Callithrix jacchus: one gene and its partners. The main gene of each other region encodes a partner of the protein of the gene in region 4 in a complex. Links are inferred from orthologs where the notes say so. Each region holds a gene or a part of one and is shown on either strand. Other genes may lie near its edges. The genes, in order: POLA2, PRIM2, PRIM1 and POLA1.

Region 1 (3,562 bases), on a different chromosome or scaffold from region 4:
CGACTTTCCTTCAGGTGGGAACTGCACAGCTCTCGCTTCACTGCTGTGACTTCTCACAGTTCCTTCTGTTTGGTCTATGGCAAGGATTCAAGGCCCCACCCTCACTGAGAGTTTCTGCCACCACTGGCTCTAGCCTCTGGTGGTGTCCTATGTACCCTGGGGAAGCAGTGACTTGGGAGGAACTTGGGCTCACCCAAAACAATTGCCTACACAACCAGATGTTTTGGGTCTCACAGGATTTCACTGTGTAAGTCACCAAACACTTCTGAAAACCACCCTGGGAAGATTCCCGTGGAATATTAGTTTATACAAGAGGGAGTGAGAAAAGGAACTAAGTCTAGAAGAAGAAGAGCAATGGAAGAGTGAAACCTTGTCCTTTCAAGTACGTTTATCTTTGCGTTTTACAAAAATGCCGCTTAATTTGGTGTCCACACTTGAAGTTCAAGAGTTCTATCTGATCTCAGTAGTTCAAAAAGAAGAAAAGAATAGGAAGTGCCATGATCTTTTTTTTTTGAGACAGAGTTTCACTCTTGTTGCCAGGCTGGAGTGCAATGGCGTGATCTCGGCTTGCTACAACCTCCGCCTCCTGGGTTCAAGTGACTCTCCTGCCTGAGCCTCCCAAGAAGCTGAGATTACAGAGATGCACCACCATGCCTGGCTAATTTTGTATTTTTAGTAGAGATGGGATTTCACATGTTGGTCAGGCAGGTCTTGAACTCCTGACCTTAGGAGATCCGCCTGCCTCAGCCTCCCAAAGTGCTGGGACTACAAGTGTGAGCTACTGTGCCCAGCTTCTTTTTTTTTTTTTTTTTTTTTTTTTGAGACAGAGTGTTGCTTTTTGCCTAAGCTGGAGTACAATGGTATAATCTTGGCTCACTGCAATCTCTGCCTCTTGGGTTCAAGTGATTCTTCTGCCTCTGACTCCCAAGTAGCTGGGATTACAGGTGCCCACCACCACGCCTGGCTAATTTTGTATTTTTAGTAGAGACAGGATTTCACCAAGTTGGCCAGGCTGGTCTTGAACTCCTAACCTCAGGTGATGCACCCACCTCGGCCTCCCAAAGTGCTGAGATTGTAGGCATGAGCCACTGTGCCTGGCCCAGCCATGACTTTTAAACAGTTTCAGTTTCTTAATGGGAAGCTCTGGAGAAACCTAGGAAGCTTAAGGTTCTGTCCAGTATTTTGAATTCTGACCTTCTTGTGCCTTCAATAATTGTTCGTAGACACTGCTTGAAAACATCTTCAAATGGACTTGTCAGTAGACAGTTCTGCAAGAAAGGAAAGGAGATAGATTTAGAAGGCAGATGTTTGGTGTTTATTCACTTGTGTAACATTGTTAGGTGCCAGCTGTTGTGCTACGAGCTGAAGGAGACGCAAAGAAAAAGATGTGGTCTTTGTCTTAAGGAGCTAAGTTTGGTCAAAGGCAGGAGAGGAGATGTGGGAATTAATCCTCTTGAATGCAATCTGAGAGACTAAAAGGAAGAGTACTTTGAAATATTTTCCGTGGAACGTAAAATATCATGAGACAAAGGATCAGAGGTTCTAGACGTCAGCCATGGAGATGTCCCACCAAGGCCCATTCGTGTTTTATGCAAAGGACAGCAAGATATGAGTTATAAGCCTGGGGTATCAGCGAGGATAGGTACTTTCACAGGGCAGCCCATGACTTAGCACCTGCATTTGTGCAAGCGCTCTTGTGCCTTAGCACCAGGCATCACAAACAAAGGAACATTGGTACTGATATATTTATATGTCCCTCCCCTAGCTTCCAGACAGCCTTATATTCCAGTGAAAGAAAGCCCTGGGATTCAAGGTCTTTATTAATAAAGTGCCCTGCTAAAATGATTTTCTGATTAGCCACAGGAATTAATGTGTTTGTTACAGATGTGGGATAAACACTAAAAAATGAAAAGTGAGAGCCTGACTGAATGCAAGTACCTAGGAGCCCTTCCTGCCCCAGCCTGAGTCACTCACCTCCACTTGCTCATGCTTAGCATCCAGGAAAGGGCCAAACTGCAAGGGGAGAAACAAAGACATCAAAAGAACACATCAGAATCACATGTGTCTGTGAATGACTTCAGCTCAGCTCTTCTGACAGTTCTCTGCCCAGGGCCCATGTATCCCTCCAAGGCTGCCTGTAGAGCCTGGGACAGCTAGCAGATGGGCTGGCAGGGGCACCAAGCCAATTTCACAGGCAGGAGCATGTATGCCCCGGATGGAGGGCGGCTCCCAGGGCCCCATAACCAGCACTATTGTCCCCTATAACATTGGGTTCACGCCTGTAATTCTAGCACTTTGGGAGGCTGAGACGGGCAGACTGCCTGAGCCCAGGAGTTCAAGACCAGCCTGGGCAATATAGTGAAATCCTGTCTCTACAAAAAATACAAAAATTAGAAATGGTGGCATGTGCCTGTAGTTCAAGCTATTGGGAAGACTGAGGCAGGGAGGATAGGGTAGGATCACTTGAGCCCAAGAGATGGAGGCTGCAGTGAGCTGAGAATGCGCCACTGCACTCCAGCCTAGGCGACAGTCTTGCTCTGCCTCAAAAAAAGCCACACTGGACTTTTTTCTGACTTTCTAAACCTAGCAAAAGAAATTGACCACCATACTAACAGTATTTTGAGCTTTAAAAAGAGATTAGTCCAGAAGTTGGAGTAATGAGAAAGAGGTAAGAATACTGTAAAATCAATGAAGGGCGGTAAAAAAAAAAGTTCACCTTTTATTTCTTCTTCTTCTTATTATTTTTTGAGATGGAGTCTTGCTCTGTTGCTCAGGCTGGAGGGCAGTAGTGCAATCTTGGCTCACTGCAACCTCCACCTTCCAGGTTCAAGCGATTCTCTTGCCTCGGCCTACCAAGTAGCCGGGAGTACAGGTGCCTGCACCATACCTGGCTAATTTTTCTGTATTTTTAGTAGAGACAGGGTTTCACTATGTTGGCCAAGCTGATTTAGAACTCCTGCCCCCCTCAAGTGATCCTCCTACCTCAGCCTCCCAAAGTGCTAGGATTACAGGCGTCAGCCACTGCGTGCAGCCAAAGTTGGGTTTTTCAATTTAGCGAAGGCCTATAGATCATGTATACCTCTCCAAAGACATAACAAATGAAAAGATATTTTCTAAAAGGAGGAGGAACTGACATGCTTCCTAAAAATTTAGAGCTGCATTAAAACTGTTTTCCAAGGCCATCTCCTCAGCTTTCCCACTGGTGCGTCTTACCAGGATGCAGACATCTGGCCGGTCGTGGTTGATGACGGCAATCAGGTCGAGGAGGGGGTCATATGTGATGCTGTCAGATGTGGTGTATGGCCCACAGGCAACCAGCACCATGGTTTGCTCAAAGTCTAAGACAGAGGATTGTGGGTCTTGATTAGAAGAGGACTGGCATTAGAGTGGTGGGAGGAGAAAGGACAATTAGGGGAAAATGCCACAGGGGTGAACTCATTGAGTCCTTTATGTGTGCAAGTCTGGGGACCCAAGGTGAGGAAGACCTCATGTCCATCCTCCAAGAACACTCCACTAGGTGGTAGAGGCAGAGACAGGCAGGTTTGCTAATACTTGGAACACG
Region 2 (4,146 bases), on a different chromosome or scaffold from region 4:
AGGTATGAGCCACCGCACCCAGCCTAAGATATTGTTTTAAAACTAAATCCAAGACCAAATCTATGGAGGGCAATTCCACAATTACCTATTTACAGAACATGACAAGTAATTGCCAGTTTATTTCCTGTAACTACATTATATAAACTACACATGCTTATAAGAGGAAAATGTCCATCTACATGCAAAAAATATCCATGTCCCACAGCATAATCTAATACCAGGGATTCTCAATAAGGGAAGAGGATGGATGGTGAATAATCATTCCTATACGGAGCCACTGTTGCTGAGGAACAGAAAAGTATATCAATATGGAAAAAAAAAAATTCTAAGCACTCCTTGTTTGCATCCTTCATATGTAGCTGCCTGTTCGGCAGTTGGCTTCATTTACTCAGCATAGATTCATCAGAAAAAAAGCAGCCCTTCCTTTCCCGATGAAGCCAAGGGCAGGGCACAACAGTGAAGAAGAAAGGCCATCCAATCAGCCAAATGAACCATCCTGAACAGATGCTACATATTGTTCAAAGGTTCCTAAAGCCCCTTATCAATCGTTCCTCAGATGAATTATTATCTGGAGGCATTTGTGAAGTCAAGAACTAAAAACATCTAATTGTCTCCTGAACATAAACCCATGTCCCACAGGTACCTCCTTATCATGTTATCCAAATTTAATTATCCTTCCCTCATTCCTACTCCTCTTCCTGCCATGCCCATCTCCACCAGCAGACTTTCTCTGCATCAGATCATCCAAACGGGAACTTCAGCCACTCCACACCTGCTCCCTCATTTCTCATGTCCAGTCACCAAATCCTATCAATGCCCCTCCTCAGCATCCCTTATATCTCTCCCTTCCTATCACTGCCATTGTCGCTGCTGTAGTTCACACCCTTATCATTTCACCTCAAGAGCCAAACTCAAGGGACACTTTTCAATCACCATCTTAATCCCTCTGAAGGATCTGACACTGCTAAGCTTTCTAAAACTCTTTTCTCCCTTGTCTTTATTCTTTCACTCAACACACAGGTACTGAGGAGTGCCTCCTCTCTGTATTAGCATTGCTTATCATGCTCCTCTAAGAATGATTAACAGTATCTTACCTTTCCTTCTGATTTTCCCACAAGGATATCCTGGAACATAAACTCTGAAGACAATGCTAGTGTTTCTGCTTCAGTTCATGTCTAACCCATTCTTTCCTCTAGCAACACACTGAGGATAAGTAGGCCCCCAGGACAATGGCCATATCCTTCTTACACCTCATTATTACATGATTAGCATGGCACAAAATGCCCTCTGTTATCCATACTTCTCCATCCACCCTAAACTCCTGTACTTGTAACTGTTATCTCAAATAACAAATTCTCTTTCATGCTCCAAATGTTTGCATAGGCCATTATCTCAGCTTGGAAAAACTCTTCACTTCTCTGCTGGAAAATTTCTACTCATTCTTCAAGGTCCAGATCGCATTTCAACATCTCTAAGAAGCCTTACTTAATCAGACTAAGTCAGTCACTCTCACTTCTTTGTTTCAACAGCACTACCATTAACTTCTACTAGAGCAGTTAAAATACTGATTTATGACTATTATTTTGGATGTCTGTGTCCATGTACTAGAATATAGCTTCCACAAAAAATTATGTTATTCATCTCAAAATCCCTGCCACTTAGAACACAGCGGCACTCAATAATATGCATTGTACAATAAATAATGACTGAGTTCCAAAACCTCAATAAATATTTGTTGAATGGATTGCTGAACGAAGGAATTACTTTCATTCATTATCACAAAGGGTAAGTGAGCTTCTCAAGAATATATACATTCTAGTTTAAGTATCACTTACATTTAACTCTATCAATAGCCAAGTTTTCAAATTCTATTAAAGATATGTTTTCAGAAGGCGGCTGCAAGTAAAACTGAAGGCAATGAGGGTAGGAAGCATTTCTCTGGTCACCCGCCAACCACGGCATCCTCCGCAGTTTTCCAGTAAACTCCATCTTGGTCTCCTTAGAAGGAAGCACATAAAAAGCATAAAATGATGGAAAATAAAGTTGAAAAGAAAACAACAACAACAAAAAAAAGCACAAAAATCTAATTTCACAAACACAGGGGAAAAAAATGGAGTTGAAGGCATGCACAAAACGTTAACAGTGGCAACTCCTGGATGATATCCTTCTGTATTTTCCAGATTTTCTACAATACACCTATAATAATTTTGTAATGGGGGTGGAAGAAGTGCTAGAGGAGATGCAGGTGGTGAACCTAATTTTCATCAACATGAAAGTCAGGTGATGCCTGCTCATTATAGGCCTGTGTGTCACTTTGGGATCACAAGAGTTAAAATAAAGTTTTAGTGGTCTGCAATTCTGAGCTCAAGAGGAAACTGCCGTAGGTTCTGGCTAAATGAGGTTCTTATTTGATGGACTGGGTCCAGTTACTTCCTATGACTTTGGGAAACAACAACGGTCTTTCAGAACTCCTTTTAGGGAGCATCCACAAGTGCCTTATAAAAATTCCATCCCCAACCCCCCGCGCCACTCCACGGGCAAACCTATCTCCCCTCAACTCCTCTCTGGCACCTAGGTGCCTGCCCCAACCAACCAACCAATATCCAATACTCCGAACCCGCCAAGTCTGTCCTGCTCCTGCTGCCTGCAAAGTGATGGATTTCTCCTTTCTCTCGACTTGCAAGCCTCAACAATAAGATTGCTCTCTGTCCTAAATTCGCGGGAGTTTCCCTTACCTGCAAGAATTCAATCTCCGGAAAACACAAACTCTGACAGCCACTGTTCCCGGGTGGCGGGAGAGTTCATATGAAACCGGAGGCGGAAGTGACTAGCGCAGAAGGCCCGCCCTCCCCCACTTCCCGTTGGCGGATTGGAGGGGGTTGGGCCTTGGGCTTTGCGCATGCTCAGTGAAGCGCGTCTGGGAATTCAATGTGTTTCATCCACTTTGCCAGCTTTAAAATTTTTGGATATCAGTGTTTTGGGGATTTTTTTTTTAGATGTACTTCCTGTATGTGGAGTCAGCCGCTTTTAACGGTTGAAACTAGGATGCTGAATGCTAGCCAGCGAGGAAAATTCGCATATGCCGAAAATTAAACCAATATAACTTCGTTTGGAGACACCAAACAAACACTCCGTAAAATGAGGAAAATATGGCGCTTTAACTTGCAGGGCTGGCACTCATCACTTTCAATCGGGGGAGGAATGACGAAAACAGGCATTAGGATCCTTTTTGCACCTAGCTGACGATTAGGGGCTCTTTTTTTTTTTTTTTTTTTTTTTTTTTTTTTTTTTTCTCTAATCTTTCACAGACCGATAAAGCCCTATAATGTTGTATTACCCCCATTTGGCACGTGAGGAAACAGAAACTACAAGATCATCGTTAGTTTGCCCATCTACGTACAATGCGCATTTTGAATTTCCTATTGGGCGCAAGCCCTTTACTGTCAGGTTCCACATTCAGTTCACTTCCCCGCTCCCCGGCAATGCCTCGCACAGAGTAAGCGCTCAGCTGAATTATCTGTGGAATGAACTCGAATGAATGAAAGAATGCACATTCGCAGAAATCATTCTGCAGTCTACAGCAATTAGCAGAGCCCAGCCTCAGAGGGAAGGTAGGGTGGAAGAAGCGGAGCCGCTGGAGATGAAGTGGACCTGCCGCTTACTTTCCAGATGTCGGACTGCAGACTCCCAAGCTGCGGGTCAGAGCCACCCCAGTTCTCTGCTGTCTGCAAGATTTTCGAGAACTGGAATTAACTTCACTCGTGGCCTCTGGGAGGCGTGTCTCGCTTACAAATGTGCTGGGATGAGGTTCTGGTAACCGTAGTCCTTTGGAGATCAAATAAACGCTTTGAAATGTTCACGTTTTTAGAAATGCAGAGTATATTAAAACAATATCAAGCTTCAAAGCACCTACCCAGCCTAGACTAAACTGTAGCTGGCACTGACTTTATACCAGGACCCGTTCTAAGTGGTTTACATATCAACTCATTTTATTCTCATAACTATATAAGGTAGATTATTTACCCCCACCCCCACCCCCGCGCGACAGATTCTTGTTCTGTCGCCCAAGATAGAGTGCAGTGTCGCGATCTCACCTCACTGCAACCTCTGCCCTCGTGGTTCAAGCTATTCTCCTGCCTCAGCCTC
Region 3 (4,238 bases), on a different chromosome or scaffold from region 4:
GCTTGATGTAGCAATATTAGTTAGCAAAAGTATTTGGGTTTAAGTCCCAGCTCTATCATTTAGAAATTGTGTGTGAGCTTGGACAAACTATTCAAGTTCTCTGGGCCTGTTTTCTGCTTTGTAAAAAAGAATGAGGATTAATATAAAGAACAAGTTAAATAACATGAAAAACTCCACATAAAAGCTATTATGCTATGTATATATTCTCTCCACTTACCAGTATGTTTATTTGAGAAGGGGAAGAGGGGCAATTTTGGTTTGTTCATTCACTCAACATATATTTATGGTGTACTCTCTCTTGCTAGGCACTCTTACAGGCACTTAGTATATATCAGTGGCGGGGGTGGGAGAGTGGTAGGTTTGGAGGTGCTATTTGAGTAAAGATTTGAAGGAGGTGAGGAGATGAACCAAGTAGATACCTGTAGAAACGGGTTCTAGGCAGTGGAAACAGCTTGAGCAAGGGTCAGTGTGGCAGAAATGAAGTGAGTGAGGGGGAGAGAAGTGAGTGACTTTTAGTCAGTGAAATGAGCAGCCACCAGAGAATGTTTTGTGTAGAGGAATTACAGAATCTTAGTTGTTTTAAAAGGATCATTCTGGCTTCTGTATTGAGAATGAATTCTAGATTCTACAAGGGTAAACTCTGAGGAGGTTTTTATAGTAATTCAGATGAGATGATAATGTTGGTAGCACTGGTAGTAATGGCTGAATTTTAGATATACATATGGTATTGCCACAGGGATTTCCTAACAGAATGGGTATGGGAGTGTGAGAAAGAGAGGAGTCAAGAATAATTCCAGGGGTATGAAGGAAAAATAATATAAATATTTACTATGAATGAACTGTACATTTAAACATGGTAAAGATGGTAAATTTTTTTATGTATATTTGACCTAAGTAAAAATAAATAATTAAAAGAAAAAAAGAATAATTTCCATGGTGGGAGAGAATGTAATTCTCTTTTATTTCCCCCCCATCCCCTTTTTTTTCTTTTTGTGACAGTTTTGCTCTTGTTGCCCAGGCTGGAGTGCAGTGGTATGATGATCTTGGCTCACTGCAACCTCCGCCTCCCAAGTTCAAGAGATTCTCCTGCCTCAGCCTCCTGAGTAGCTGGGATTACAGGTCCCCGCAATTACACCCAGCTAATTTTTGCATTTTTGGTAGAGACAGAATTTCACCATGTTGGCCAGGCTAGTCTCGAACTCCTGACCTACCTCAGGTGATCTGCCCATCTCAGCCTCCCAAAGTGCTGAGATTACCGGTGTGAGCCACTGCCCCCCCCCCCCCCCCCCCCCCCCCGCCTCCTGTTTTAAATCATGTTGACTTCCTCTTCCTAGTAGCAAGATACTCAAGTTTTCCGTCCTAGTAAGAATGCAACCAATTCACTCTCAAACGATTTCATCAGCAATGTAAAATGCCGAAGAACAAAAAAGGATTAATCTACTTGCCAATTAAAAAGTGGCTTTTCATCTAGAATAAACTCTAAAAATTTAATCTCAAAATGCTAGAGGAACCAACCCATTCTCGGTTTCCAAAATAAAACAACAAAATACGTTAAAAAAAAGAGATCTTACTCTGTGGGAGTATACTGCGCCTATATCAATCTTGTATGGATTCATTTTCTGCATCTCCTTTTCCAGATCACTCTGGTTGTTGAAGGACTGGTAGCGAACGTAAATATCATCTTTCAATGTGAATGAAAATTCACGGTGTTGAAAGTAATTCTTTATCACTGGAAAATAAACGTACATTTTAAAGTTAATTTGCTATTTTATTTGGCTCGGGACATTATAACTTTAGCCAATGAGAAGTGTTTTTTTTTTTTTGGAGAGGGAGTCTCGCTTCTTGCTTTGTCGCCCAAACTGGAGTGTAGTGGGATCTAGGCTCACTTCAACCTCCACCTACCGGGTTCAAGCGATCCTCCCACCTCAACCTTCTGAGTAGCTGGGACTACAGGCACGCGTGCCACCACGCCCAGATAATTTTTGCATTTTTTGTAGATACGGGGTTTCACCATGTTGGCCGGGCTGGTCTCCCCCTGACCTCAGGTAATCCGTCCTCCTTGGCTTCCCAAAGTGCTCGGATTACAGGCCTGAGCCACAGCACCCAGCCAGAGACATTTGTAATGAGCCCCCTATGCTTAACACTGTGGTAGACGTAAAAACAAAGACACAAACTACCCCACAAGACCTAGTCCCTAATTTCAAAGCAGTTACCCTTCCACATTTGCTAGGGAAAGGTCCAAAAGACGAAACAGATGCGGAAATACTTTAAATATGTAATGCCACCCCTCTCTCCTCGATTTGCACTAATAAATTCAGCTGCAAGGAAGAAACTATCTCTACTCCTCTGAGAGGCTCTTCCGCTCCTGATGCAAAGCAGGCCTCTGCAGATACGCCCTAGTAACCCCCTGGGCACCGCAGCAAGTAAACAGGGTACCTAATGTGGGCCTGGCCACGCAGAGGTAGGAGCGGCGGTTCGGTTTTTTTTACCATGTGGCCGCAGGCTGGTCATTACATTCTGTCTCGGCCCATTTATACCTAGGAAGTGGTGGGGCGGGCTCGAGAGAGCATAAGAAGGCCCGCGGCACAAAGCCAGGCACACTGACGGCGCTTCACATGGTCATTCTAAGGACACCCCGCCTCCAACCTCCTCACAATCTATTCCTGACCCCATTCCCCGCCTCCATCACCTCCGCCGTAGTTGAGCCAGCGATAGTACTGAGAGTAGGGAAAGAGCCTCCGGTAATAAAGTTTAAGCAGCTCGGGCAGCTCGGTGGGGTCAAACGTCTCCATGGAGCGCGGAACTCAACCCAGCAGGGCTACCACAAGAATTGGCGGGAACAGCACAGCCGGCGGCCCCGCTACTGCGCAGGCGCTTAGGGCCGCGGCCCGCCTTCTGCGGGGGCCGCCGGGAATTGTAGTTCTCACGTGGTGTGGGCGGGGCCTGCGCGAGCCGCAGTAGTTGACGCTCTGCCTACGCGCTCGGGCACTAGGGCCACCGCTCTTGTGGGTAGAAGGCCGCGTGCATTCCAGGAAGAGGATCTTCTCCGGAAATGTGAGACCTGTAACATGTTGATTTAGGTTATTAAGATGAAGTTTTAGATTTAGATTTAAGTTATTAGGATTTAGGTTATTAAGATGAAGATGCGTGGGGCATTCTTTTTACTTCATCTTAATAATATAAATCAACTTTTTGGATGTTTTAGAAATAACACCAGTATCTTTTAAAAAGTTTTGGAGGCTGGCACGGTGGCTCATAACTGTAACCTCAGCACTTAGGCCAAGGCAGGAGGATTGCTTGAGGCCACACCGGTCTGGGCAATATTGTGAGATCCGTCACACACACACACACACACACACACACACCCCTAGCCAGGTGTAGTTGTGTGCGCCTGTAGTCCCAACTACCCCAGAGGCTGAAGTTGTGGGGGATCAATGGCTTCAGTCTGGGAGGTCAAGGCTGTGGTACACCACGATCGTGCCACTGCACTCCAGCCTGGGCAGCAGAGGGGACCGCGTCTAGAAAAAAGAAAAAGTTTTGGAAATTAGTTATTCATGGAATTTCATGGATTACTAGCTCCAATATGTGGAAATAAACAAATATCAACCAGATAAGAAAAGCATAGGCTATTTATTCAGACCTTACTATAGCAAGCGAGTCAGTCACCATCATTTGCATTTGGTAGGAACTCAAAGGCAGGCAGAGTAGTAGGAAAGCTTTATACTGGGAAAAAGGAATCCATCAGGGTATTCTTTAATTGGAGGCTGTTTGCTTGGAGAGTCTGTACGTGGGCAAACTTGAAGTAGGATGTGGTATGTGATTGGTTTAGGGGTGCATGTTTGGCTTTGGTTGGTTGGACCTATGTTGGAAGCTATGATGAAATTAAGGAAGCTGTAAGATATTACAGCATTTTGGGCCCATTGCTTCAGGGGTTGCTGTTTGGCCTCTAGGATCATCACAAGAGTTAGCAGTCTGACTTTCTACAAGTCTGACTTGTAGCAGGCTTGCTTCCTGTGCTGTTTATTATAGATAAGGGGGTTGGTTTCCCTGGCAGGTTGGAGATTGTGGGTCAGAGTTCTGTTTTTATACATGATCTGGTCACTGTTCATATATTCAATCTCTCAAACAGAACACCCAGGTATATGAAAATATGAATTATAGAAAGCTTGCAGCATCAGGGAGAGCTTTACAAGTATGAAGGGAACCCATTTGCTATTGATGTGCTCATCTGCCACTCA
Region 4 (3,562 bases):
AAAAAAAACAAAACAAACAACAACAAAAAAACATTCAATTCCCATTTCTGCATCAATTCATATCAGTGCTAATAAAACAGTAGCTAAACTAAGTTTTAGTTCTAAAGTGATGGAGGCTATTTCAGAAACCTAATTGTGGGTGACCTTGATCATACTAGTATAGAAAAATGCAACACAATAATAAAGGCTCATAGGTTCAAGAAAATAAAAGGTTTAACTGGCATTTAACTTTGGGTAGGGCTAAGGTGCCAAAACACATTCCATGTATGGTCACCCATCAGAGAGGTCTAATGCTTCCCTCAGAGAATTTCATGTTTCACAAATTTTGTCTGCAAAGAGAAAAGTGGATAAGGAAATGACACAAATACAAGGGAATAAACTTGACACGGTTTCTACAGTACACAAGGGATTTGCTATTTTGAAAGCAGATGTCATCACAGAAAAAAAGGCTATCTAGGTAATAAAAAGTAAGGGATAAGAGGAAACAAAATACTACACAGCTTTGGACCCACCAGTTTTTGCTGAGGCTTTCGGAAAATCTGCTTGTCAGGCACAATATAGTTGTTTTCATAAAATGCATGAAGCAACAAGAACTCGTTACGCTCGGATCGTCCACCCATCAGTGTCCTGGACTATTAAATGGAATCTCTTTTTAAAATTTGAGCTCAAAACCACAACTAACAAAAGCAACTTTGAGTCAGTTAAGTTTAGTCACATCACCTCCTTCAAAACCATTCCTAACAACAGGCTGCTTTAAAAAAAAAAAAAAAAGTACTAAATTATTCCTAACATTTTCATTGAGCATTACAGTTAAAGGAGACAAAGAGAGCTTAAAATATTGACAACTTGGCTATTTACTCCCAAATGGACCATTCCACCAAACAGACACATCCAGATGTTAGAGAGATGATCCTTATGTTCGTCCAAATTTCAACACACTGCACCTGGCATTCCTCCCCTTCTCCCAACCAGTTCTTCCTTTACAAAAGAAGTCCAGCTCTCAGAATCCAAGTTACTCATTTTATAAGCATGCATTTAGACTCATTATCATATAACAACTACCCCAAGCAAACACTGAATCCAACAGGAAATGCTTTTTCCCCCTTTCTAAGTTAAATTTACCATAATGTTCCCAGCGATGTTAGTGATCTGCAATGCTAATGGAAGAACATTCAGCTCACACATGATCTGCAAAATGAAGTTGGCATCTTTCCAGGTGTGTTCCAACAGGTATAACAGTTGGGAAGAGTCACTGTACAGAAAAGTAAGAATGAAACAGAATCAAATAATTAAAAGAAACAATGCCCATAATCATAACTTCATAAACTATTACAAGGAATTTTGGGTGTAAGTAAATTCAGAGCAACAGCATCTTGGCTTCAGAAACAAATTAAGGTCAGTATGTAACTAGGAATTCATTCATACCATTGATCCCAAAGCCTTTCTCACACACACACACACACTCACACACACACACACACAATCCCATAAAGAAAAACTGAAGTAATATAATAACTACAAGCCTGAAAACTATCTAAATCCTTTCATTCATTCCATCCAGTGAGTATATATTGCATGCTTACTATGTGCCAGGAGTTGGCTGTGACCAAAACAAACAAAACTTCCTATCCTCCTGGAGCTTATGTCCTCATGGGGGAGACAGAGTATAAAAAAGAAAAAGAAATTATGTATATAGTATGTTACATAACTTTAAAAGTTAAGCAATGGGAATATTAAGTATCGGAAGCAGAGACCGAAATTTTTATTAGGAAACAGTGGAAGATTTCACTGAGAATAAACATCTGGAAGAGGTAAGGGAACAAGCCTTATGGAAAGAGCACTCCACGCAGACAGGACAGCACACTCAAAAGCCCTGAGCTGCATGCAAATCTGGCAGTTCCAGGACTAGGAAAGAGGCCATATGACTGGGTCAGAGAGAATAATGGAAAGAGTAGCAGGAGATAAGGACAGAGTTAATGGCATAGAGACACACTGTATGGAGCTTATAAGTAAAAACAAGAACTTCACTTCTTACTCTGAATGAAACAAAGAGTCACTGGAAGATTCTGGACACATCTGACTTGATTTTAGCATAACTCTGGTTCTGGATTGAGAACCGATTATAAAGGGGTAAGGGCAAAAGGAAGGGGACAGGCATATAAACCCAGTAATCCAGGGGAAAAAGGATAGTGGCTTGGACAGGATGGGTTCAACAGAATCGGAAAGAAGTGGTCAGACTTCGAGATATTTAGAAGATAAAACTGACAGGATTCCCTCATACATCTACTGTGGGATATGAGAGAGAGGAACCAAAGGTGCCACAGAGATTTTGGGCTAAGTAAAACTCTGAAGTGTCCAGTGATAACGGAAAAATACGCTTACTAATTTAGTAAGGAAAGACTACAGGAAGAACCTAGGATAGAAGATTAGAGCTCAGTTTTGAACAAGCTGGGAGTTCACATTAGGTATCAAGTAAAATAGGTAAGTAGATACATTGATTCTAGAATTTAGGGAGGTCTAACCTGAAGATACACAGGTGGGAGGCATAGGCATCCACATGATATTTAAATTCCTAAGACTCCCTATGATCACCCAGAGAGGAAGCAAAGTCAGAAAAGAAGTCAAAGGAAGGACTCAGAAAGAACTAGCAGGAACAAACGAATGAGAGATGACCAGAGGAGTAGGAGGAAGAAATAAGCAAGTGATACCTCTAAATAACTTAATGATTGCTCAGTTTTTACATTTCCAAAGTATCTACCCTAATTCCTGAATAAACGAATTAAGAGTAGAAATCTAAATCCAAACTACTGTTAGGAAACATTAAGAAAGTGTTAACACAGGTGAGGGAGATAGAGATAAACTGATCAATTACAGTAATTCAAGAGCTAAACTAGTTCAAATTATGAAAGCAGTGGAGATGGTAGCACTGACAAAGACAATTTCCCCTCTACAGCACCACTGGCTCATGCCTCTCCAGACTAAGAATAGTACTGGTGTTCTGCTATTGTTAATTTCAAGACAGATGAATTCTGAAGAATCTAGGATCATACCTGTACATATTTCGTATATTTTCCATTGGGATTATAGCCCTTTCCTTTTTTAGAATCTGCTGAACAAGTTCGGACAGATGGTAGCTTTTACAACGAATCAATTCCCTTGCTGAAATTTCCACATCACAGATCATTCGACCACAGGTAGCATTTCTTTCACCAAATCCACTCCGGCCCTATGAGATGGAAACAAAAAGCAAATTTCATGAAAGAGCAGACACTGACAACATTTCTTTCTAACCTATTTTAAAGCTGACCCAAAATTATGATAAAACTTTCATTCTCCCATTTATCAATCAAATATTTTTGAACATTTACTATATATCTGACATTATTCTAGGCACTCAGGATACAGCAGTGATCAAAACAGAAAAGACTCCTAGCCTCGTTTGAAATGTATAATAAAAAATAGATACCATAAACAAGAAATTATATCATTTTAGGAGGTAACAAGTATATGGAAAATGGGAAAATAGAGCAGGGTAGGGGCATAAGGAATTTGGGGAGACTGC

What was found.
Region 1: the proteins of POLA1 (region 4) and POLA2 are in contact, whole or in part, in a cryo-EM structure (PDB 8G99), measured with the Xenopus laevis proteins. The link is inferred for Callithrix jacchus from reciprocal best matches to the Homo sapiens genes POLA1 and POLA2. Residues at the interface, in NP_001082055.1 of Xenopus laevis: Gln548, Lys551, His553, Gln554, Asn555, Phe642, Glu645, Val646, Gln649, Asn652, Leu673, Gly675, Arg676, Phe679, Lys1137, Asp1141, Pro1143, Asp1144, Ile1321, Gln1322, His1324, Asn1325, Lys1326, Leu1328, Leu1329, Arg1332, Ile1335, Lys1336, Tyr1338, Tyr1339; in XP_018112289.1 of Xenopus laevis: Met280, Tyr281, Lys282, Phe283, Met284, Phe285, Gln286, Lys287, Leu288, Met289, Ile291, Arg292, Val295, Ser296, Ile299, Glu314, Thr316, Leu320, Pro321, Gln323, Glu324, Thr325, Val326, Gln331, Gly333, Cys334, Asp335, Ser336, Asn337, Gly338.
Region 2: the proteins of POLA1 (region 4) and PRIM2 are in contact, whole or in part, in a cryo-EM structure (PDB 8G9F), measured with the Xenopus laevis proteins. The link is inferred for Callithrix jacchus from reciprocal best matches to the Homo sapiens genes POLA1 and PRIM2. Residues at the interface, in NP_001082055.1 of Xenopus laevis: Leu842, Lys853, Ile894, Pro895, Glu896, Leu971, His974, Arg977, Glu978, Leu981, His982, Glu985, Gln988, Lys989, Asn991, Glu993, Asn1007, Asn1009, Arg1101, Asp1102, Glu1106, Gln1109, Glu1221, Asp1224, Gly1225, Asp1227, Ala1229, Leu1230, Met1233, Trp1234; in XP_018121015.1 of Xenopus laevis: Pro34, Pro35, Thr36, Glu37, Asn38, Ile39, Ser40, Leu41, Ile42, Phe44, Glu45, Ile49, Ile107, Phe110, Ile111, Leu114, Cys117, Gln118, Ser119, Glu120, Asp121, Arg123, Ala240, Arg241, Leu243, Val245, Val246, Gln247, Arg251, Leu252.
Region 3: the proteins of POLA1 (region 4) and PRIM1 are in contact, whole or in part, in a cryo-EM structure (PDB 7OPL), measured with the Homo sapiens proteins. The link is inferred for Callithrix jacchus from reciprocal best matches to the Homo sapiens genes POLA1 and PRIM1. Residues at the interface, in NP_058633.2 of Homo sapiens: Tyr439, Ala440, Pro447, Glu448, Lys449, Ser450, Phe876, Thr877, Thr878, Gln880, Leu906; in NP_000937.1 of Homo sapiens: Asn92, Thr93, Val94, Lys95, Leu96, Gly97, Ala98.

What each region holds. Positions count from the first base shown.
Region 1 is NC_133511.1:122,375,449-122,379,010, reverse strand, and holds part of POLA2 (DNA polymerase alpha subunit B), read right to left. Parts: intron 3,339-3,562; coding exon 3,214-3,338; intron 2,014-3,213; coding exon 1,975-2,013; intron 1,269-1,974; coding exon 1,195-1,268; intron 1-1,194. UniProt on the Homo sapiens protein: Accessory subunit of the DNA polymerase alpha complex (also known as the alpha DNA polymerase-primase complex) which plays an essential role in the initiation of DNA synthesis.
Region 2 is NC_133505.1:65,692,608-65,696,753, reverse strand, and holds the start of PRIM2 (DNA primase large subunit), read right to left. Parts: upstream 2,808-4,146; 5' UTR 2,736-2,807; intron 1,999-2,735; 5' UTR 1,990-1,998; coding exon 1,836-1,989; intron 1-1,835. UniProt on the Homo sapiens protein: Regulatory subunit of the DNA primase complex and component of the DNA polymerase alpha complex (also known as the alpha DNA polymerase-primase complex) which play an essential role in the initiation of DNA synthesis.
Region 3 is NC_133510.1:62,890,772-62,895,009, reverse strand, and holds the start of PRIM1 (DNA primase small subunit), read right to left. Parts: upstream 2,851-4,238; 5' UTR 2,793-2,850; coding exon 2,690-2,792; intron 1,730-2,689; coding exon 1,572-1,729; intron 1-1,571. UniProt on the Homo sapiens protein: Catalytic subunit of the DNA primase complex and component of the DNA polymerase alpha complex (also known as the alpha DNA polymerase-primase complex - primosome/replisome) which play an essential role in the initiation of DNA synthesis.
Region 4 is NC_133524.1:25,473,026-25,476,587, reverse strand, and holds part of POLA1 (DNA polymerase alpha catalytic subunit), read right to left. Parts: intron 3,227-3,562; coding exon 3,051-3,226; intron 1,253-3,050; coding exon 1,123-1,252; intron 633-1,122; coding exon 513-632; intron 1-512. UniProt on the Homo sapiens protein: Catalytic subunit of the DNA polymerase alpha complex (also known as the alpha DNA polymerase-primase complex) which plays an essential role in the initiation of DNA synthesis.